Linked DNA regions of Macaca fascicularis. The protein of the gene in region 1 purifies or fractionates together with the protein of each later gene. This does not show direct contact. Links are inferred from orthologs where the notes say so. Each region holds a gene or a part of one and is shown in the gene's direction. Other genes may lie near its edges.

Region 1 (3,500 bases):
CAAAAAGAAAAGGTTATTTAAAAGCCAAGAATGGGAGATTGTACATTTTGGCTTGCAGAAGGCTCTGCAATACCACTTTTTGGTTTTAGATAAGTGATTCCTAATTTGGGTCTCAAGAGATCTCTGAATTTTTCTTTTGGTCCAATGGACTGTTTAAAGGAATTATCTTAAATTCATGTTTTTGGAAAATGTATCGGAAGTGTCTGAAGAAGGTATTCAGAGGGAAGTCAGACTCATCCTGGTCTTTCTCCTGTGAGGTCTCCTCCTCAGGAACCACCATTGCTAGTTACTTCTGTTATGTTACAGATGTGTTTCTGCATGTGTATATGGGGGTGTGTGTATGTGTATATTTTTACATACACACACAGCTCTTTTAAAATGCAAATTAGGATTTTCAAAAACCATTTAATTGAAAAAATAGTCACCATTTCATTTTGAGAGGTGATGGGATGATGTACTAATACTAATGCCTTTAATTCCTTGAAGGTTAGGAATCACTGCAGTGGAAAGGCTTCATGGTCCATGTGCCTACAGTCAGGGAGAAAAAGGCCAACCTCCTGCACCCATGCCTTGTACTCCTGGCCATGGTCCTTCCCGTGGGGAGGAGAGGTGGCTGCCCTGCCCTGTGAAGTGTGCTCTAGACTTGAGCCTCCTTCAAGCCAGTCTCAGCACTCCTGTCCGTGGATCTCGAGAAGAGTTAGTGCCCTGGGTGCAGAGCCCTCATTGAGAACTCAGGCTGCTGTTTACTCAGAGAGCTGCGCTGCTGAGATCCAAGATGAGGCCCCTAGGCCCCTGGCCTGCACCGCCTTTGGTTCTCTGCCTATTTCTTATGTCTGATTTAGGAAAAGGGAAGAAAATACATTTCACAGCATGTCCAGGCCCACCAAGAAAGTTGTTTGAAAAGATTTTTTATCGTATCTTAGTTCGGTTTTTCCCCCAGTTATAAAAATTACATTGTCATTGGAAATTTAGATAAAATAGAAAAATTTGAAGAAATAAAATTACCTGTAAAGCCACCCAAAGACCTGTATTATGCCTTTATTTGTATAGTCTTTAAGCTCTTTTTCTTTTTTTTTTGGAGATGGAGTTTCACTCTTGTTGCCCAGGCTGGAGTGCAATGGCACGATCCGGCACACTGCAACCTCTGCCTCCCAGATTCTCCTGCCTCAGCCTCCTGAGTAGCTAGGATTACAGGCATGCGCCACCATGCCTGGCTAATTTTGTATTTTTAGTAGAGACGGGGTTTCTGCATGTTGGTCAGGCTGGTCTCAAACTCCCGACCTCAGGTGATCTGCCCATCTTGGCCTCCCAAAGTGCTGGGATTACAGGTGTGAGCCACCGTGCCCAGCCTGAGCTCTTTTTCTAAGACACATGTCACACGCACACACTTAAAACACAATTGGAATGTCTCATGTCTGGTCTGGGATTCTATATATAATACAATCCTAAAGTTATATTTTGCATATTGATTTAACCCTAATTTTTTTCTCTTGTGGTTAAATATTCTGTGAAAATACATTTAAGAAGTACATAATATATTTTTCTGTTGTTGGACATGTATCTTGTTTTAATATTTTTACCACTGTCATGAGCTGATATTTATTTAACAGTATTTTAGAAAATATTACGTGTAATGCATAGAATGTGGTAATTTTGAATAATTTATGTGTTAGAAAGCTAATATTATTTTTATGGGTTTAAGTTGATTTTTAATAATTTGTACATATCTTTTAGCTCCGTCTTAAAATACTTTACAAATACTTGGACTCTACAGAAAGGCTAAATCCTTTTTTGCTTCTAGAAGTTAGGTACATCAGAAAAAAACCATAGGAGGAATTCAGTAAGTTGTCCTTGCAACTTTACTGGTGACTAGATGCAACTATTAGAATGAATACGTGTGTAAAATGAAGTCAGCGTTTCACTTCTGTTCCCTTCTGTCTCACTTGGGGAGTGTGGCACAGAGGCTGTGATTGCTGTAACGTGAAACCTGAGGGTCTTTACCGGATGATCCAGCGGTAGGCGTTGTCCACTCTGATGGTCAGCATCCTGCTCACCCCTGTGGAACAAGCTGGATGTGTGTCCAAGCTTGTGGCTCCTGTGGCAGGTCTGTGCCCACAGGAAGGCTGATGAGGGAGCTTTGGACCCATCATTGCTGTGGGCATGTGGATACTTTACACCGGTCCTGCCATTGACAGCACAGGTGGTGGTCACCCTTCTTTCCTGGTCCCTCACAGACATACCTTCACTGGCTCAGGGAGGCAGTGGAATGAGAGGCTCCCCACCCCCAAAAGCAGTGCTATGTGCTCGACACACACAGTTTCATCTGAACTGTGTTATTGGCCCCTGCAGGGTATTGTTTGCCCCATATGATGGACAAATGCGCTGAGGCTGAAGCATGTGAAACTTGCAAATGTGGAGCCGGAATTGGAGTCCAGGTTGTTAGAATCTAAGCCCTGTGTATTAACCAAATTGCTGACTTTGAAACATAAGTAGATTTATAGTTGGCTTAACAATTTATAAATAAAACTTTTTCCTTTTTGTTAGGGAAAAAACCTATTGGGTTTAGTGTTCCCACAGACAGCATTACTTTTTGGAAATGAACTATCCCGTGTGTTTTTTCTTTTCATATTCCTAACGAAGACATCATTTTGGTTGCTTTCGGAGAGCGTCAGATTATTGGAATAATCTGGAAGTTTGAATATAAATGGAATTGCGTATGCAGTCATTTCGAAAGACCTTCTGTGCCGAGCTTGCAGAGGGTGGGGATTCTGTAAATGCTTGTTAATGCTGTGAGGGGCAGACAGGGAGGCTGAGACAGGAAACCTTGTGAGTCCAGGCTGCTCTCCACTACAGAATCAGTAACACAGCTGTTTTGCCTCCTCTTCTTCCCTAGGCAGAAGGTTATGTTATTGGAAGCTGCATCAAACACATCCCGATTGCAGGTAGAGATATTACGTATTTCATTCAACAGCTGCTAAGGGAGAGGGAGGTGGGAATCCCTCCTGAGCAGTCACTGGAGACAGCAAAAGCCATTAAGGTAAAAACAGATGGGAAACCGGCTGGTTTGGGGGTGAGAGAGATGGTGTTCTGGACACTTCCCCTCGGTGCCGTCATCCCTGCTTCTCCTTTCCTTCCTCTCCCCTTCCCATGAGTGTGGGGCTTGATTTGTTTTACCCCTTGGGTTTAGTGGGCTGAAGATGTAAAGCTTAACCTCTTCCAAACTAGATGCTCTGAGGTTCCAGCTGTCAGTGAGAACAGCTTGGTAGCTGGTGCAGTGTACCAGCATGCAGAGGCGCATTGTTCAGCTGGAACCTCACTGCCAGAGCCTCAACTACCAGAGCGCTCCTTCCATACTGCCTCCATGCTTCGCTGTAGAATCAGGAGGCGACTGCAGCAGCAGAACACTGCCACCCTAGAATCCAGAGCTATTGCACAAAATTCACACACAGGTGTGGGTGTGACGTGTGGCCATAAGCATCTCCTTCCTTTACTGCACAGTT
Region 2 (3,500 bases), on another chromosome or scaffold:
CACTTGAACCCGGGAGGTGGAGGTTGCAGTGAGCCAAGATTGTACCACTGCACTCCAGCCTGGGCAACAGAGTGAGACTCTGTCTCAAAAATAAAATAAAAAAAAAATAAAGGCCAGGCACATTGGCTCACGCCTGTAATCCCAACACTTTGGGAGGCTGAAGTGGGCGGACTGCCTGAGGTCAGGATTTGAAGACAACCATGGCTAACATGGTGAAACCCCATCTCTACTAAAAATACAAAAATTAGCCGGGCATGGTGGTGTACACCTGTAATCCCAGCTACTCGCGAGGCTGAGGCAGGAGAAAGGCTTCAACCCAGGAGGCGGAGATTGCAGTGAGCAGAGATCGCGCCACTGCACTCCAGGCTGGGCAACAGAAGCGAAACTCTGTCTCAAAATAAATAAATAAAAATTAAAAAGATATGAAAGGCCGGGCGCGGTGGCTCAAGCCTGTAATCCCAGCACTTTGGGAGGCCCAGACGGGTGGATCACGAGGTCAGGAGATCGAGACCATCCTGGTGAACACAGTGAAACCCCATCTCTACTAAAACTACAAAAAAAAACTAGCCGGGCGAGGTGGCGGGCGCCTGTAGTCCCAGCTACTCGGGAGGCTGAGGCAGGAGAATGGCGTGAACCCGGGAGGCGGAGCTTGCAGTGAGCTGAGATCAGGCCACTGCACTCCAGCCTGGGTGACAGAGCGAGACTCCGTCTCAAAAAAAAAAAAAAAAAGATATGAAAGACATTTTATTGTAAATTGTAATAAATGCTTTGTAGGCGGAAGTGAAGGCCTAAGAGGCTTTCCTTAATTAAGCTGAGATCTGGAGGATGACCTAGGCAAAGAAAGAGGAAAAAAGCCTACAAATAGATGGTCAAGCATGTGTAAAGCCCTGAGGTGGGAAAGAATTTGGCTGATATAAGGACTGACCAGTACATCTAGAAGCTAATCCCTCTACTAAGAATGTCCTTATTCTAGCCGAGTGTGGGGCTCATACCTGTAATCCCAGCACTTTGGGAGGCTGAGGCTGGTGGATCACAAGGTCAGGAGATCAGGACCACCCTGGCTAACATGTGAAACCCTGTCTCTACTAAAAATACAAAAATTAGCCAGCCGTGGTGGCGGGCGCCTGTAGTCCCAGCTACTTGGGAGGCTGAGGCAGGAGAATGGCATGAACCCAGGAGGCAGAGCTTGCAGTGAGCCGAGATCGTGCCACTGCAGTCCAGCCTGGGTGACAGAGCAAGAGTCTGTCTCAAAAAAAAAAAAAAAAGAATGTCCTTACTCTACTTTTTCTCATTATAAAATCCTCCTAATCCCATTTCACTTTCAAAACCAGTTTCTTCTGCAAATATAGATTACTTGTAAATCTAAATATTTCAACATTTTATCTTTATATCATAGTTATTTTCTGTATATCTGCTATCCAGTTGAGCTGTTTGAGGGTAGAGACAGTGTTAATCATCTTTGAATTCCCAGTTAGCTCAGTGCCTGGCAAACAGTATATACATTTGTTGGCCTAATAGATTGAAGACAATCATGCATTCACTGGTATGTCTCTAGATCACTTTCTCAACCTCAGCACTTTTGATATTTGAGACTCAATAATTCTTTGTAGTGCATTGTAGTATGTTTATTGGATATCTGTCCACTCAGTGCCTGCAGTTCGCCTCCCCGCCAAGTCATGACAGTTGAAAATGTCTCAGCATTCCTCTGGTGTGACCCCAGGTTAAAAAAGAAAGAAATGAAATATCTCGACATTGCCAAATGTACCTTGGGAGGCAAAATTGCCTCCTGTTGAAAACCATGACTGCACCTTGGAAGGCGTCTCGAAGGCCTAGTTTGTTCTGTTCACAGTGGTGTCTTAAGAGCCTTGCACCCTCAGTGCTACCTGGCTTCATGGGAGCTGGAATAGGGGATCAGTGGGTTTGGCATGACAGATTTTGATCTTCCCTTCCCTTTGTGTTATTTCCTATAGACTGCCACTCTCCGCCCCTACCTGAGTGCCGTGCGGGCCACATTGCAGGCTGCCCTCTGCCTGGAGAACTTCTCCTCCCAGGTTGTGGAACGACACAACAAGCCGGAAGTGGAAGTCAGGTAGGGAAGGACAAGTCAAGGTGGGGATGAGGGGTGTGGCACGCAGAGATGGCTGCTGTCAAGAAGGTGCCGTGAACTTATGTCCCAGAGTAGTCAGGACAGCTGCAGTTGACATTTTGTCTTGCTGCCAGCTGAATGGTGATTCCCAATTTGGAGTTAAGAAAATAGGGTCAGGCCGGGCGCGGTGGCTCAAGCCTGTAACCCTAGCACTTTGGGAGGCCGAGACGGGCGGATCACAAGGTCAGGAGATCGAGACCATCCTGGCGAACCCGGTGAAACCCCGTCTCTACTAAAAAATACAAAAAACTAGCCGGGCGAGGTGGCGGGCGCCTGTAGTCCCAGCTACTCGGGAGGCTGAGGCAGGAGAATGGCGTGAACCCGGGAGGCGGAGCTTGCAGTGAGCTGAGATCCGGCCACTGCACTCCAGCCTGGGTGACAGAGCGAGACCCCGTCTCAAAAAAAAAAAAAAAAAAAAAAGGAAAATAGGGTCAGTGGGTTGGCAGGACAGAACCCAGGGGAAAAGACAAGATTGCTTGACACAAGGTATGACTTCTCAGAGCTGGGCTGTTGATGAAGTCTTTCCTGTGGCATTGTTGAAAACACTGGTAGTTTAAGGAATAGTCAGATAATTTAGTTATTTGAGATGCCATCTCCATACTTTTCTAATGTAATGATCAGGGATTTTTTTGTACCTACCAGTCTAGACACTCTGACACCCTAATCCAAATACTCCACATTTTGAATGATTTTCTCTTATCTAGTTTCCATTTCATAAATATCTTTTTCCCCTTTAAAATTTAATCTGGTGCAATGGCTGGTGCAAGCCATTGCCTGGTGCAGTGGCTCACCCCTTTAATCTGAGCACTTGAGGAGGCTGAAGTGGGCAGATCGCTTGAGTCTAGGAGTTCAAGACCAGCCTGGACAACATGGCAAGACTCCATCTCTACCAAAAAAATATGCAAAAATAGTTGGGCTTGGTGCCACATGCCTGTAGTCCCAGCTTCTTGGGAGGCTGAGGCGGGAGGATCTCTTGAGCCTGGGAGGTAGAGGTTGCAGTGAGCCAACATCGTGACAGTGCACTCCAGCCTGGGTGAGACCCTGTCTCAAAAAATAAGTAAAAGAGGCTGGGCACGGTGGCTTATGCCTGTAATCCCAGCACTTTGGGAGGCTGAGGCAGGCAAATCACGAAGTCAAAAGATCGAGAGCATCCTGGCCAACATGGTGAAACCCTGTCTCTACTAAAAATACAAAAATTAGCTGGGCATGTAGTGCGCGCCTGTAGTCCCAGCTACTCAGGAGGCTGAGGCAGGAGAATTGCTCGAACCCGGGAGGCAGAGTTTGCAGCGAGCAGAGATCGTGCCACTGCACTCCAGCCTGGCGACAGAGCAAGACTTCATCTCAAAAAAAAGTA
Region 3 (3,500 bases), on another chromosome or scaffold:
GAATGGGACCCATGTTGTCTTATAAAAAGCCAGGCATCTTGTAAAAAGCAGAACTAAGAATCAGCATACAGAATGCTCTCATAAATGTGATTTTTTTCTCCCTTCCTTTAACTCACACTTACCCACTGAAGGGAATATATATATTCTCATTTTACAAATTTGGAAACAAGCTAAGAGAAGAAGAATGATGCCTTGGTCAAAGCATAACGCCAGGAAGTGGCAGAGCTGAAAAGATAGTGCTTGGGTCTTGGTTTAGCTGGGGGCTGGGTACCCTGATTTATATGATGTTTGTCTTTCTGTGGTGGAAATACTTTGACCAGATACCAATGTGATGTCACCAAACATAGAATTGGAAGAGATGCACAGCAGCACCCCATTATTTAGTATTTCGTAATAATAACTTTAAGAACATGACAATAGGAAAATGTAATTTTTAAAAATTAGGTTATTGCCGGGCGCGGTGGCTCATGCCTGTAATCCCAGCACTTTGGGAGGCTGAGGTGGGCGGATCATGGGGTCAGGAGTTTGAGACCAGCCTGACCAACATGGTGAAACCCTGTCTCTACTAAAAATACAAAAATTAGCTGGGCGTGGTGGCTCGCACCTCTAATCCCAGCTACTCAAGAAGCTGGGCGGGAGAATCGCTTGAACCCAGGAGGCGGAGGTTTCAGTGAACAGAGATCGCGCCACTGCACTTCAGCCTGGGTGACAGGGCGAGACTCCGTCTCAAAAAAAAAAAAAAAAATTTAGGAAGTAGGCCAAGTGCAGTGCAGTGGCTCACGCCTGTAATCCCAACACTTTGGGAGGCCGAGGCGGGCGGATCACCTGAGGCCGGGAGTTCAACACCAGCCTGGCCAAAATGGAGAAACCCCTTCTCTACCAAAACTACAAAATTAGCTGGGCGTGGTGGCACATCCCTGTAATCACAGCTACTCAGGAGGCTGAGGCAGGAGAATCGCTTGAACCCGGGAGGCAGAGGTTGCAGTGGGCCAAGGTCACGTCATTGCACTCCAGCCTGGGCAACAAGAGCAAAACTCCGTCTCAAAAAAATAAAATGTAGGCAGTAGCTGGGTGAGGTGGCTCTTGCCTGTAGTCCCAGCCCTTTGGGAGGCCGAGGCAGGCATATCACTTGAGCTTAGGAGTTCGAGACCATCTTAGGCAACATGGTGAGACTCCTTCTCAAAAAAAAAAAAAAAAGAAGTAGTGATGAATATTTAAGCATCATTGGTTTTAACATCATTTACTTTTTTTTTTTTGAGACAGAGTCTCGCTCTGTTGCCCAGGCTGGAGTGCAGTGGGATGATCTTGGTTCACTGCAACCTTCGCCTCCTGGGTTCAAGTGATTCTCCAGCTTAGCGTCCCAAGTAGCTGGGACTACAGGCGCACACTGCCACGCCCGGCTAATTTTTTGTATTTTAGTAGAGATGGGGTTTCACTGTGTTGCCCAGGCTGGTCGCGAACTCCTGACCTCAGGCAATCCGCCTGCCTCAGCCTCCCAAAGTGCTGGGATTACAGGCGTGAGCCACTGCGCCGGCCAACATCATTTACTTAATTGTAAGTTTATATAATTTGATTTTTGAGAACAGCTGTGTTTAACAACCAGCTTGAAAAATGCCTCATAATTTAACAGTTGGTTTTCTTGAGCCAGAAAGAACCAGCTCTAGCACCTCAATGCTGCTATCCCTTCTCCCTCCCCTGATTAATCTTGGGTGGGTTACTCTTTTTTTCCTTTAAGGAAAGGTTGTTTGCCACAGTGACATTTGCTCTCTTTCTGCTTCTGTGTTCTTCCTGGGCTTGCCATTACAGGCTTACCACTCTTCTCTCATGGATCCTGACACCAAACTCATCGGAAACATGGCACTGTTACCTATTAGAAGTCAATTCAAAGGACCTGCACCCAGAGAGAGTAAGTCTAAACCCATTATTTTCAAATTTTGGCATGAAATGCCTAACAGTCTTCTAAAATGGTCAAATCAGGGAAATTCTTAGCTCAGTCTTCTCTCTCAAATTGTCCTTGTACTTTGGTAGATATTGTGGTCTAGACCTTTCAAGATAGTGGTTATATGTTGCATTTAATAGGAAATTGTATTATTTCTTCTGACTTCTCCAGGAAACTCTTTTGAGAAAATGGAGGAAATGTGCTTAATTCTGGACACTGTTTATCAGTTCTTTCAAACAAATCTAATGCTGTTATGTCTAGAATGCCACATGCCCATCCTTTCTGTTATCAACCTGGAAGAAAACAACAAATATTTTGACCTCTTCCCCGTCTAAATCTACTTCCTTTATTCATTCTTCAAGATCTTCATTTTTAGCAATACCTCAATCTTAAATCTGAAGTATACTATGTAACATTACTTATGTCTATTCCTGCTTTTCTGAGTTTTATTTCAGAAAGCTGCAATATTTTTCAGACACTGTCTGAGACTCTTCTGACGCTTTCTGAGATGTTCTTCCAACAGTATTATTTGTATTATATTAGACACGGTTTCCCTGTACCCTGCAAGGGTCTGAACTGAATTCCATTCATGGTTTCTAAGACCATTATTATAATTATCAATTTGGTACTGATCCAATTCCCATTTCTCTGCCAGACTGTTTGACTTGACCTTTTTTTAACTTAATTTTGTTTTCAACACCATTTGAAAGCTCAGTAAACTTTATAAATATGGTGAGTCACCACAGTCTCTACTTGATTCTGAGGAAAAGGAACAAGGAAGAAGACAACCTGAGAGAGAAGAAAAATAACATAAAAGAAAATCACAGGGCTGGGCGCAGTGGCTCACACTTGTAATCCCAGAACTTTGGGAGGCCAGGGCAAGTGGATCACTTAAGGTCAGGAGTTCGAGACCAGCCTGGCAAACATGGCAAAACCCCATCTCTACTAAAAATACAAAAATTAGCTAGGCATGGTGGTGGGCACCTGTGATCCCAGCTACTCAGGAGGCTGAGACAGGAGAATTGCTTGAACACAGTGGGTGGAGGTTGCAGTGAGCCAAGATTGCACCACTGCACTCCAGCCTGGGCGACAGAGTGAGACTCCATCTCAAAAAAAAAAAACAAAAATTACACTGCAAAGGCCAGGCGTGGTGGCTCACACCTCTAATCCCAGCACTTTGAGAGGTCGAAGTGGATGGATCACCTGAGTTCAGGAGTTCGAGACCAGCCTGAACAACGTGGAGAAACCCCGTCTCTACTAAAAATACAAAAAATTAGCCAGGTGTGGTGGCACATGCCTGTAATCCCAGCTACTTGGGAGATTGAGGCAGGAGAATCGCTTGAACCTAGGAGGTGGAGGTTGCAGTGAGCTGACCTGGGAGGTGGAGGTTGCAGTGAGCTGAGATCATGCCATTGCACTCCACCCTGGGCAACAAGAGCAAAACTCTTGTTTCAAAAGGAAAAAAAAAAAAAAAAAGAAAAACACCTGAATTGGAATGGAGGCCTGTGCTGTGAGCTAAATAACAGTATTAATCACACTAATTCATTTATATTCAACAAAT
Region 4 (3,500 bases), about 150 Mb from region 1:
TTTCCAGTCCTGCAAGTCAGATTACATGCTCCACCCTTCCACTCCTCCAACATAAATATCTCATGTAGTAAAAGTCAGGTATACCACACTAAGGGCTTCAGATGACACATTAATTCTTCAATGGCAACTTTATGAAGGGCGTCCTGAGACATGTACAGTTAGCTTTTATTTTGTTATTATTTAGAGAGACACTCTCTGTCGCGCAGGCTAGAATGCAGTTCTGCAATCATAGCTCATTACAGCCTTGAACTCCCGAGCTCAAGTGCTCCTCCCAACTCAGCCCCTCAAGCAGATGGGGCCACAGATGTGCACCACCACGCTAGGGTAATTTTTTTTTTATTTTAATTTTTCATAGAGACTGGGTCTCACTATGTTATCCAGGCTGATCTCAAACTCCTGCCTCCAGCAATCCTTCCGCCTCAGCCCCTCAAAGTGCTGAGATAACAGGTGTAAGCCACCACGCCCAGCCAGTCAGCTATTGAATGCATCGTTTCTTGCATGAAGTGAGGTGCTCCTAACTCATCAGCCAGTGTGTTTGCCTGCCATATCTGTGTAATCTCTTTGCCACACTCAAGAGCAAATAACTACATGCACACACGTGTCCCTGCACGCACACATACACACACACGGCCCATTCGAGTGCGAGCTCCTGGCTAAGACCATTTGGTTCATTTTGGTGGCTCTAGTTGCTGACACAGTGCCTGGCCGTCAGCACAGATGTGTGTGGCCACAGCCGTCTCGGAGCTCCGGGGAGCACAGGCAAGGAGAGGGTCCTAGCACAGGTGTTTGCTGCCAAGTCATAGTAACAGAAAGAGCTCTAGGAGCTAAGAGCAGGGAGAAGCTGCTTTAGGCTGCAGTGGCCTCTGGGAAAGTGGACCGTGGGATCATGGGGGTGATCCCTTTAGAGCTGTGCTGGGGGTCGAAGGGCGTGGGCGGAAAGACAGGGCTTTGGGAACCAGTTTGTCATGAGTGGGCGGGGTCTCAGAAGCAGGCGGGAGGAGCCCAGGCTGGAGCTGGAGCCGGAGCCGGAGCCGGAGCCCAGGGCCACCCCTGGCTCAAGAGGCCTGCAAGTTGAGGTCAGAGGCTCCTTTTCAACATAAGTGCCCGTTGATACTGCAGAAGCCCCTGTGAGAATGGGTCCTTTGTTGTCATCTGTGTCTGTAAAGAAGCTAATAGTCTGTTACATCTTGGGATAACAAACGTTCTTGTGTTTAGGGTCTCAACTCTGAAGACGGAGTTCCTGCCGCTCCTGAGTGTGTCATTTGTCTCAGAGAACAGCGTCGTGGCTGCTGTGAGTATTTTTCTTCATTCTCCCTCGGGGTGCACTGTATGTGATGCTCAGACAGGGAACAATGTGTGCTCTGTCACCCTAGCACAAAGCAGAACAGTTTTTTGTTTTTTGGTTTTTGGTTTTTTTTGAGACAGAGTTTCGCTCTTGTCCAGGCTGGAGTGCAGTGGGTGATCTTGACTCACCGCAACCTCTGCCTCCCGGGTTCAAGCGATTCTCCTACCTCAGCCTCCCGAGTAGCCGGGATTACAGGCATGTGCCACCATACCTGGCTAAATTTGTATTTTTAGTAGAGATGGGGTTTCTCCATGTTGGACAGGCCAGTCTCAAACTCCCGTCCTCAGGTGATCTGCCCACCTCGGCCTCCCAAAGTGCGGGCGTGAGCCACCGTGCCTGGCCTTAGAGCTCACTCTTTTTTTTTTTTTTTTTTTTTTGAGACGGAGTCTCGCTCTGTCGCCCAGGCTGGAGTGCAGTGGCCGGATCTCAGCTCACTGCAAGCTCCGCCTCCTGGGTTTACGCCATTCTCCTGCCTCAACCTCCTGAGTAGCTGGGACTACAGGCGCCTGCCACCTTGCCCGGCTAGTTTTTTGTATTTTTTTTTTTAGTAGAGACGGGGTTTCACCGTGTTAGCCAGGATGGTCTCGATCTCCTGACCTTGTGATCCGCCTATCTCGGCCTCCCAAAGTGCTGGGATTACAGGCTTGAGCCACCGCGCCCGGCAAGCTCACTTTTAAGAGTAAGAGCAGGTGGGGCACGATGGCTCACGCCTGTAATCCCAATACTTTGGGAGGCCAAGGCAGGTGGATGACCTGAGGTTGGTAGATTGAGACCAGCCTGGCCAACATGGTGAAACCCTGTCTCTACTAAAAACACAAAAATTAACCAGGGCATGGTAGCGCACATCTATAATCCCAGGTACTTGGGAGGCTGAGGCAGGAAAATCACTTGAACCCGGGAACCAGAGGTTGCAGTGAGCTGAGATCGTGCCACTGCACTCCAGCCTGGGCAACAGAGCAAGACTCAATCTCAAAAAAAAAAAAAAAAAGTAAGAGAGGCCTATCATGGTGAACACTCTGCCAAGGAGCTGGGCGGTGGGCAGTGTGTCCTCCAGGGACTGACTGAGTCTCGTTTCAGGGCCATGACTGCTGCCCAATGCTCTTCAACTACGATGACCGCGGCTGCCTGACCTTCGTCTCCAAGTTAGACATTCCAAAACAGAGCATCCAGCGCAACATGTCTGCCATGGAACGCTTCCGCAACATGGACAAGAGAGCCACGACTGAGGACCGCAACACGGCCTTGGAGACGCTGCACCAGAATAGCATCACGTAGGTGCCGTCTGTAGAAAGGTGGTCAGGTGACAAGGTGCCCTCCTGCCCCTCGCTGTTTCCTTACTGGGTTCCTACAAAAGCTCTATGCCCCGCAGGCCCAGGCATTCCTTCAGGGACAAGTGCAGCAAGAAGTCCGTATCTTCCCGACTGCCAGGCTCTCATTTCCAGCTCGTGATAGGGAGAGAGTCGCCACCACCTGTCATTCTGTCCTTCAAGGTGCAGATTACAAGGCAGCAGCCAGCAGCAGCAGTGCAGACCCTGTTGCAATCCGAGGTGGTGGGGCTTCAGGGTAACCGCTTCCTAGGGCACCCTTTCTCAGCTACTCAAGAATGAAAGGAGACTTTCTTGAATGCTGTGTTCCCATGGTAGTGCACACATAACAGAAAGCGAAGTTACAGCCTGTTTGAAAAGGTAACTGTAACTGTCATTTCAAGTAATGGATACAAAAAGAAGATTCTTTAATTAAAGAAACAATTTCTTAGCATCATGATGACAAAGCTGAGGAGTGTTTCAACTGGGTTTTCGTAGGGTATATGTAATTATGTAAGACAACAGAATTGTGTTTTGTCCAGAAAGTTTGATTTTTATTTATTTATTTATTTATTTATTTTGAGACAGAGTCTCACTCTGTTGCCCATGCTGGAGTGCAATGGCACAATCTCAGCTCACTGCAACCTCCGCCTCCCGGGTTCAAGCAATTCTCCTGCCTCAACCTCCCGAGTAGCTGGGATTACAGGTGTGTGCCACCACACCTGGCTAATTTTTTGTATTTTTACTAGAGACGAGGTTTCACCCTGTTGGCCAGCCTGGTCTCGATCTCCTGACCTCAGGTGATCCGCCCACCTTGACCTCCCAAACTGCTGGGATTACAGGCATGAGCC
Region 5 (4,260 bases), on another chromosome or scaffold:
CCAACACAGTGAAACCCCATCTCTACTAAAAATACAAAAAAATTAAACGGGCGTGGTGGCAGGCACCTGTAATTCCAGCCACCTGGGAGGCTGAGGCAGGAGAATCACTTGAACCGGGGAGGCAGAGGTTGCGGTGAGCCGAGATCATGCCATTGCACTCCAGCCCGGGCAACAGTGCAAGACTCTGTCTCAAAAAAAAAATAATTAATTAATTAAATTAGCGTATAATTTTGGGGGATCAGCAATATCCTGAAGTTCATCCATAGCCCGTTAAGTAATGTTTCAAAGGACTATCTGTGCCTTAATGATAGGAGCTAGTTTCTTGTTCATTTTTTTATCCCCACCCCAAACACGTAACAGAAAATAAATTATTTCCTTGTATGTGGAAGGGACTCAGCTAAGTTTATTACATTCTCCCCGGAGGAGGGAAAACACAAAACAAGGCACTAAGGCAGATGGTGCGGATGTAGCACAAAGAGGAGTTAAGATTCCGCACTCAGGTAACAAGGAGGGTGTATCTCTGCCAGAGGTACTGGAAGGTTTCAAAAGCAGAAAAAAATGCGTTCTGGACACCTGGACGTAGAATTGGAGGCATGACAGAAACACAGGGAGGCCCATCTAAGTTGCCTATTCACCCAGGTGACCTCTCATTCCTTTCCTTAATTGTCCTTTTAACAATACAGGGAATTTCACGCAAGGAAAGTGTCCTCTTCTCGCCCCAGCGGGCAAGGGGGTTCCTCCGGCGCAAGTTCCGGCCCCAGCTACTCCCACGTCCCACAGGTCTCCTGCCTTTTGGTACGTACACTCCTGACCACTCGCTGCTTCCGCATCCCTACTCTGATCCTCTCCCCATGCATCTCTACCTCCTTACACAATTGAGAATTTTATTGTCTGTTTCCTCTACCAGACTATAAGTTCCACGAGGGCAGGGCCTCATCTATTTCATTTACCACTACATCCCCAGTATAGAGCAAGAGCCCATGAAAATGTTTGTTGGAGAAATGAATGTCTGATGGTGTCGCTGGACAGCTATACCTGGAAAGAAAAAGAGGCACGCCCAGCAAACAAGCTGGGAGCAAAGAAGCCCGCTGGGAGACTACAAGGGCGAGCTTCTTGCGAGGTCTCTGAAATGACAAGACCGGAAGAACGGAGTTGGATCTCTGGGACAAGCGGGAGTGAGAACCTGGACAGTCAGGCAAGCCTCGGGGAATGACAGCTCCGCGGGGGACGCACTGGTAGGCTGTAGACGTAAGGGGGTCTGTGAGAAAGTAGAGGGTGGGGTGGCGGCATCAGACATACGCAAGCGCAGTCTCCGTTTCCTCCGGCGCGCCTGCGCTCGCGTTCACGAGGGGTTGAAGCGGAAATGGCGCCGCGGGGCCGCGCGTCCAGGCGGCGAGCGGAAGTGGGTGTGAGAGCGGAAGTGGCCGGCTAGAGCCGGGGGCTGGGCGGGGACTGGACTTGTCGGTGAAGCGGCAGTGGCGGCGGCGGCGGCGGCTCGGCAGGCGGGTTCAGGCTTTGGGGGCCAGGTCGGTTGGTTGGTTGGGTGGGTGGGTGTCTCCACAGTCTGCGTGCGTGGGCCAGCGCGTGCGTCTTACCCTTCCCTCCATCCCGGCCCCTCTCCCCTTCTCCCCTAACCTCCTACCCCACCCAGGTCCCTTCAGGGGGCAGCAGGGCCGCTTCCTCCGTCCTTCCCTACCTTACCCACCCTCACCGGCCCTTGTTTCTCCTTCCCCTGCTCGGGGCAGCCGCCGCCATGATCCTGCTGGAGGTGAACAACCGCATCATCGAGGAGACGCTCGCGCTCAAGTTCGAGAACGCGGCCGCCGGGTGAGCGCGCGCCCGGGGCCAGGGGTGGCGGGGGAGGCAGAGTTGACCCCAGCTAATCCCCAGTGTCGTCCAGTCCCCCAGACCTGGAGGAGAGAAATGGGGTGCCTGGCAGGGTGTAGGGGCTGCCCCAGCGGGGTAGAGGTGGGAGGCGATTGGGCGCGGCCGGGCGAGGGGCAGAGATGCGTGGGGAGAGGCTCAGAGGAGGGATGCGGAAGCAGCGAGTGGTGAGGGCTGTGCGTGCCAAAGGGCAGGAGACCTGTGGGACGTGGGGACGCTGGGGCCGGAACTCGCGCCGGAGGAGCCCCCTGCCCGCTAGGGCGAGAAGGGGACCCCTTCCCTGCGTGAAATTCCCTGGCATTGTTCTGAACCCAGAGAGAGCCTGTTTGGAATTGGGTTGGAAGGAGTTTTCAGGAATTCCCAGGACTGGAGGAGGAAAGGAGATGCAGGCCCACGTCGCCACCAGCATTCTCGTTCCCCGCTGCCGTCTGCTCTAAAAGGAGCAGAAGAGAAGACTGAAAGCCAACCCAGTCTTAGAGCCGGAAAAACGCGATCTCTGGTTTCCCTTTCCCGAACCCTTCTGTGAGAGACACTGGGCCATTTTGTTACATAGTTTTCAAGCAAAGCTAATTGTCCCTTGCTCCACACCCGTTCCTTATCTCTCCTTTGAGGTTCTAATGCTCTCTCCTCGCCCACTAGCCTTTATCTGGTTATCTTGTAAATTCTTACATCAAGACCCTTGGTCTGTGATTTCTTCCGTGGTAGCCTTGGCCCAGTTACACACTTCAAAGCCTCCAGAATCTATAAAGTTCTTAGATAACCTCTCTTTACAGTTGGACTTTTTAAAAGATGGGCTTAGGTCGTATTTCCAAGGCAGCCTTCTCTGCCAAACACAAGAATCAGTAGAAGACAACCTCCTCCTCCAAAGCTGCTTTGCTTTTCTAATATATTTAAAACATGAGCTAAGCGTTTTGGGTTCTAATTTTTGGTGGCCTATGGCCAATCCCCTTGCCTCATTTCCCTATCTATAAGCATGGGGCTTCACATCTGGGTTTCACAGTTGAGGAAATAAGAGCAGACTGTTTCTGGTGAACTGGGAGCTAGTAATAGGAAACTACTTGGAGATCCACAGATGGGAAAAGATTGGTAGAGGGGAATTTTTAAGTGGTCATAATGTACTTGTGGCTTGGAGGCATTAAAAAGTATTAACTACCATTTAAATTGAATATATAGTATGTCCTGTCTCCTTTATAAGGCAACAGATTTTATCTGTAAAACAAAGCACTACTTTCCTTGAAGTAATATGTGTAGTGAGCAGTACTGTTTCCTGCCAGGGGCTGCAGTTGCTTATATTTTAGGCTGACTTGCTGCTTTCTTGTCTTAGCCTCTCTTACCAGTTTCTTTGCATTTTAGATATTCAAATGAATCAGCCCAGAGTCTTATTTTGGGTGATTGCTGTATACTTTTTTCTGAGCAGTGTAGCACATAGGAGGAAGTTGAATTAACTTCTGCATTTTCATAACTGATCTTAATGCATTCTCAGGTCCAGACTAGCAAAGAATGAGACCTGGGCGGTTATAAACTGATCTACAAGATAAATGGCTGTGTATTTGCAAGAAGAGGCATGTCTTTTAACATAGGAGTACATTCTCGTCTATTTGTGTATTAATGACTTGTGATTCCAAAATATGGCCCATTATTCGGAACTTCAGTTCTTTCTTCTTCTTTTAAAAAGTTATTCTTAAAAGAAGCAGCTAACCATTTCGGAGGGATTAAATAGGCCCTCAAGTCTGGAAGAAAAACGTTAGGACTTGCAGGACATTTTTTTTTTCCCCCCGAGACAGACTCACTGGCTGGAATGCAGTGGCGCGATCTCTGCTCACTGCAACCTCGCCCTCCCAGGCTCAAGTGATTCTTATGTCTCAGCCTCCCAAGTAGCTGGGATTATAAGCACGCGCCACCACACCCAGCTAATTTTTGTATTTTTAGTAGAGATGGAGTTTCACCATGTTGGCCAGGCTGGTTTCAAACTCCTGGCCTCAGGTGACCTGCCCACCTCGGCCTCCCGAAGTGCTGGGATTACAGCACCGCGCCTGTCCTCATTTTTTACAAAGATTTGCATTGTAGGGAACTTGTATGGGGGTGCACTGCTGTGTGTGCTTGTGCACATGTACGGGTGTGTGTGTGTATAAATTTAGGCTTTCATTCTGGCCCATCTCCCTCTTTGAGATTTGGTTTTCAATAAGGCAGCTCAGAACATTCTGCTGAGAATTTGAAACTTTGAAAGTCTTTTAAAAGACCACAATATCCTGCCTAGTAGGCAGGGCTCTCCTGGGATTACAGATATATCACCCAGCAGAAGCCCGAATGAAGCAAGCGGAAATTACCAGGCATCCCAGTAAGGTAAAGCAAGGTGCATGCCTATTCCAGAACTTC
Region 6 (3,978 bases), about 150 Mb from region 1:
TCGCGCCACTGCACTCCAGCCTGGGCGACACAGCGAGACTCCGTCTCAAAAAACAAAACAAAACAAACAAACAAAAAAAAAGAAACAGAGTCTCACTCTGTTGCCCAGGCTGGAGTGTGTTGGTGCGATCTCGGCTCACTGCAACCTCCGCCTCCTAGGTTCAAGCGATTCTTCTGCCTCAGCCTCCCGAGTAGCTGGGATTACAGGCATGCGCCACCACTCCTGGCTAATTTTTGTATTTTTTAGTAGAGACGGGGTTTCACTGTCTTAGCCAGGATGATCTCCATCTCCTGAGCTCATGATCCTCCCGCCTCGGCCTCCAAAAGTGCTGGGATTACAGGCGTGAGCCACCGCGACTAGCCGAGGGAAGGTTTTCATCGGTGGCTCTTCCATGTGTCTGGCCGCCTGGGCACGTATTCACTGAAGAGGCAGAGGGTCAGGATGGGGAGACTCCAGGGACCACCTGGCTCAAGACCCGCAATTAGGTGGCTGCAAGGCCAACCCGGTAACTTTAAGAAGTGAAGCCGATTGACGTGAAACAGAAAGGAAAGAAGTTAGCTGGCCGGCCAGCGTCAGCACAGGCAGCCAGTGTCACCCTGCCCGGGGACGGCACCCCGGTTTTGTGGCGACGACACCGAGGGCCGAGGGGGCGGGGCCGGGCTGCCCTGGCCATGCCCGACCGCCTGCGCCCCGCCCAAGGCCTGCACAGTTGGCGCCCCGCGGGTATCAGCGTGAAGGGGGCTCCTCGCCGGCTGGGGACGGGGCTGCGGGGCTCGCCAGCCGCTCACCTGCGTGGGAGCGCAGAGCCCGCAGTACCCGCCGTCCGGGCTCAGAGGACGCGACTCCCCGACCCTGCGCCCGGCAGCCCCCGGTGGCCGTGCGCCCGGCCCAGGCTCGGAGGTCTAGCCCAGCGGCAGCTTAGGCTGCGCGCCTGGCTCCCAGCCTCAGTTTCCCCATTGGTAAAGCGTTGACGGGAGGTTGCGGACGGCTTCTACGGACAGAGCCTTAGGCTCCGACGTCTGCGCCGGTCCTGGCAGCACCCCCACCCCGAAGGGAGGGCGGGACCTGGATCTCGCGACCGCTGCCCCAGGTCCCCGCCCCCGGGCCCTACGGGGCTGAGGTCGGGAGGCCCCGCCCCCCGCCCACGAGGAAGTGGCTGCGGCTCCGGCGCGGAGCCCAGAGCCGGTTCGGCGCGTCGACTGCCCAGAGTCCGCGGCCGGGGCGCGGGAGGTGAGGGCCGCGGGGGCGCCGGGAGGTGGGGGTCGGGGGAGCCATCCGGAGGTGGGGGGACGCGTGGATGTGGGGCGCCGCCTGGGAGTGAGCGGGACGGGAGGGATGAGAGGGGGTGCAAGGAGGGGGCCGGGGGGCGCCTGGAAGTGAGGAGGACGCATGGATGTGGGGCGCCGCCCAATAGGGGCACGGGGATGAGTGAGGGCGCACGGAGAGGAGGGGGCGCGGGGACGGGGGGCTCGCGGAAAGGAGAGGGAACCCTGGGATTGGAGGGGGCGCGGGGGTGGCTACAGGGCCAGGCCGTGGAAACGCGGGCTCCCCGCGCACCGGGCGCCCTCGGGGCGTCCCCAGCCCCCGGTCCCGAGCGTCCGCCTCGTGCCTTCCACCTCGTGCCTTCCGCCCCTGCTCCCGGGCCCGCATCCCCGGCCTTGCCCCGCGGTCGGTCGGTGTAGCCCCGTTACTTCGGGCCGGCGGAGCCCCACGCCCAGTCACTTCCCCTCCATCCCGGAGCCTTCCGGGTTGCAGCCGCCGGGAAATGAGTTGGCGTCCCCGGCCGCCCCGCCCCAGCCCTCCTGGCCGCTCCCGCTGCTCCCAACCGCCTCCCCTGGGCCAGGTCCGAGGGGTCCCGTATAGGGCGGGCCTGGCCGGTGGAGTCCCGGAACGCACCCCTCAGCTGCGGGGCTCCGCGGCCAGGGCAGATCCGGGCAGCCCCTCCCTTTCCGGAGGCGCAGGGAGAGCAGCCAGGCCGCCCAGGGCGGGGCGGGGCTGGGCCGGGCTGCACCCGCGGGCAGAGAAGAGATCAGGAGGGCAAGCCCTGGGGAGTCAGACCTCCCCCTGCCTCCTCTGCCAGTGCAGCCCGGAGGCTACCACCACCCATCCCGGCCGGGCGCGGCGGCTCACACACACAATCCCAGCATTTTGAGAGGCCCAAGCGGGAGGATCGCTTGAGGCCAGGAGTTGGAGGCCAGCATGGACAGCACTGCGAGACCCCTTCTCTATTAAAATAAATAAATAAAATGCAGTCGGGCGCTGTGGCTCATGCCTGTAATCCCAACACTTTGGGAGCCGAGGTGGACGGATCACTTGAGGTCAGGAGTTCGAGACCAGCCTGACCAACATGGTGAAACCCCGTCTCTACTAAAATTATAAAAATTACCCAGGCATGGTGGCGCTCACCTGTAATCCCAGCTACTCAGGAGGCTGAAGCAGGAGAATAGCTTGAACCCAGGAGACAGAGGTTGCCGTGAGCTGAGATCACGCCATTTGCACTCCAGCCTGGGCAACACAGCAAGACTCCAACTCAAAAAAAAAAAAAAAGTTAGCCAGGTATGGTGGTGCATACGTGTAATCCCAGCTACTCGGGAGGATGAGGCAGGAGAATCGCTTGAACTTGCTTTGGCAGTGAGCCAAGATTATATCACTGCACTCCAGCCTGGACAACAGAGGGAGACTCCATCTCTAAATAAATAAATAAATAAAATCTTAGGGATCTAAGTAGGAGTGCCAGCTTCTCCCTTCACTGGCCAGTGACTGGTAAGCTACCCAACCCCTGCCAGCCTCAACTTTCCTTATCTGGAAAATGGGAACCTTAAGGATTGTAAGGCTGCAATGCAATACTGCAGGACACTTGGCAGCGTGTCAGGTGCTGACAGTATAAACGTGTGCTTGTTGCTCACCTTGATCATAGTGTGCCCCCAGGTGAAACTAACTTCCTGGCCTCCAAGATGTGGGGTCAGAGTCCCAAGTTTCGTCATTTAGTAGGAGCCGAGTGACTTTGAGCAAATCATTGCCTTTGTCAGGCTGGGTTTCCTCTGGTACAAACTGAAGGTAAAAAGCAAACAGGCTGGGTGTGGGTGGCTCACGGTTGTAATTCCAGCATTTTGAGAGGCCGAAGCAGGCGGATTACCTGAGGTCAGGAGTTTGAGACCAGCCCGACCAACATGGTGAAACCCCGTCTCTACTAAAAATACAAAATTAGCCGGGCATGGTGGTGGGCAGGAGAATCGCTAGAACCCGGGAGGTGGAGGTTGTGGTGAGCTGAGATCACGGCATTGCACTTCAGTCTGGGGACAGAGTGAGACTCTGTCTCCAAAAAAAAAAAAAAAAAGCAAACAAAAAATGTCCAGGCTTGCTTCAGGGTGTAAAAGAGAGAATGGTGAAAGTTCTGGGTAAAATTGCCTTGCCAGATGCCAGTAAAGTTCGTTTCTTACATATGTCTGTACGTAATCCATTGATAGGTCTTTTTCTTTTTTTGGAGTCCGGTCTCACTGTGTTGCCCAGGCTGCAGTGCCATGGCTTGATCATAACTCACTTTAGTCTCAAACTCCTGGGCTCAAGGGATCCTCCTGAGTAGCTGGGATTACAGGCATGTGCCTCCATGCCCAGCTAATTTTTAAATATTTAGTAGAGATGGGGTTTTGCTGTGTTGTCCAGGCTGGCCTCAAACTCCTGGCCTTAAGTGATCCTCCTGCCTTGGCCTCCCAAAGTGCTGGGGTTACAGGCATGGACCTCCATGCCTGCCTTATAGGTGTTTTTTTTTTTTTTTTTGAGACGGCGGAGTTTCACTCTGTTGCCCAGGCTGGAGTGCAGTGGCATAATCTCAATTTACTGCAACCTCTGCCTCTCGAGTTCGAGTGATTCTCTTACCTCAGCCTCCCAAGCAGCTGGGATTACAGGTGCCTGCTACCATTCCCAGATAATTTTTGTATTTTTAGTAGAGACAGGGTTTTATCATGTTGGGCAGGCTGG

Evidence for each region.
Region 2: the proteins of ACTR3B (region 1) and ARPC4 purify together in Homo sapiens (affinity purification with mass spectrometry; 5 studies listed by BioGRID and IntAct, counting the BioPlex papers as one, with this or other methods). This does not show direct contact. The link is inferred for Macaca fascicularis from reciprocal best matches to the Homo sapiens genes ACTR3B and ARPC4.
Region 3: the proteins of ACTR3B (region 1) and ARPC3 purify together in Homo sapiens (affinity purification with mass spectrometry; 6 studies listed by BioGRID and IntAct, counting the BioPlex papers as one, with this or other methods). This does not show direct contact. The link is inferred for Macaca fascicularis from reciprocal best matches to the Homo sapiens genes ACTR3B and ARPC3.
Region 4: the proteins of ACTR3B (region 1) and ARPC1A purify together in Homo sapiens (affinity purification with mass spectrometry; 5 studies listed by BioGRID and IntAct, counting the BioPlex papers as one, with this or other methods). This does not show direct contact. The link is inferred for Macaca fascicularis from reciprocal best matches to the Homo sapiens genes ACTR3B and ARPC1A.
Region 5: the proteins of ACTR3B (region 1) and ARPC2 purify together in Homo sapiens (affinity purification with mass spectrometry; 6 studies listed by BioGRID and IntAct, counting the BioPlex papers as one, with this or other methods). This does not show direct contact. The link is inferred for Macaca fascicularis from reciprocal best matches to the Homo sapiens genes ACTR3B and ARPC2.
Region 6: the proteins of ACTR3B (region 1) and ARPC1B purify together in Homo sapiens (affinity purification with mass spectrometry; 5 studies listed by BioGRID and IntAct, counting the BioPlex papers as one, with this or other methods). This does not show direct contact. The link is inferred for Macaca fascicularis from reciprocal best matches to the Homo sapiens genes ACTR3B and ARPC1B.

Annotation. Positions count from the first base shown.
Region 1 is NC_088377.1:194,085,913-194,089,412, forward strand, and holds part of ACTR3B (actin-related protein 3B), read left to right. Parts: intron 1-2,893; coding exon 2,894-3,037; intron 3,038-3,500. UniProt on the Homo sapiens protein: Plays a role in the organization of the actin cytoskeleton.
Region 2 is NC_088376.1:148,058,615-148,062,114, forward strand, and holds part of ARPC4 (actin-related protein 2/3 complex subunit 4), read left to right. Parts: intron 1-1,970; coding exon 1,971-2,089; intron 2,090-3,500. UniProt on the Homo sapiens protein: Actin-binding component of the Arp2/3 complex, a multiprotein complex that mediates actin polymerization upon stimulation by nucleation-promoting factor (NPF).
Region 3 is NC_088385.1:117,318,444-117,321,943, reverse strand, and holds part of ARPC3 (actin-related protein 2/3 complex subunit 3), read left to right. Parts: intron 1-1,806; coding exon 1,807-1,906; intron 1,907-3,500. UniProt on the Homo sapiens protein: Component of the Arp2/3 complex, a multiprotein complex that mediates actin polymerization upon stimulation by nucleation-promoting factor (NPF).
Region 4 is NC_088377.1:47,947,416-47,950,915, forward strand, and holds part of ARPC1A (actin-related protein 2/3 complex subunit 1A), read left to right. Parts: intron 1-1,215; coding exon 1,216-1,291; intron 1,292-2,422; coding exon 2,423-2,616; intron 2,617-3,500. UniProt on the Homo sapiens protein: Probably functions as a component of the Arp2/3 complex which is involved in regulation of actin polymerization and together with an activating nucleation-promoting factor (NPF) mediates the formation of branched actin networks.
Region 5 is NC_088386.1:114,116,463-114,120,722, forward strand, and holds the start of ARPC2 (actin-related protein 2/3 complex subunit 2), read left to right. Parts: upstream 1-1,460; 5' UTR 1,461-1,526; intron 1,527-1,745; 5' UTR 1,746-1,753; coding exon 1,754-1,827; intron 1,828-4,260. UniProt on the Homo sapiens protein: Actin-binding component of the Arp2/3 complex, a multiprotein complex that mediates actin polymerization upon stimulation by nucleation-promoting factor (NPF).
Region 6 is NC_088377.1:47,963,766-47,967,743, forward strand, and holds the start of ARPC1B (actin-related protein 2/3 complex subunit 1B), read left to right. Parts: upstream 1-1,178; 5' UTR 1,179-1,230; intron 1,231-3,978. UniProt on the Homo sapiens protein: Component of the Arp2/3 complex, a multiprotein complex that mediates actin polymerization upon stimulation by nucleation-promoting factor (NPF).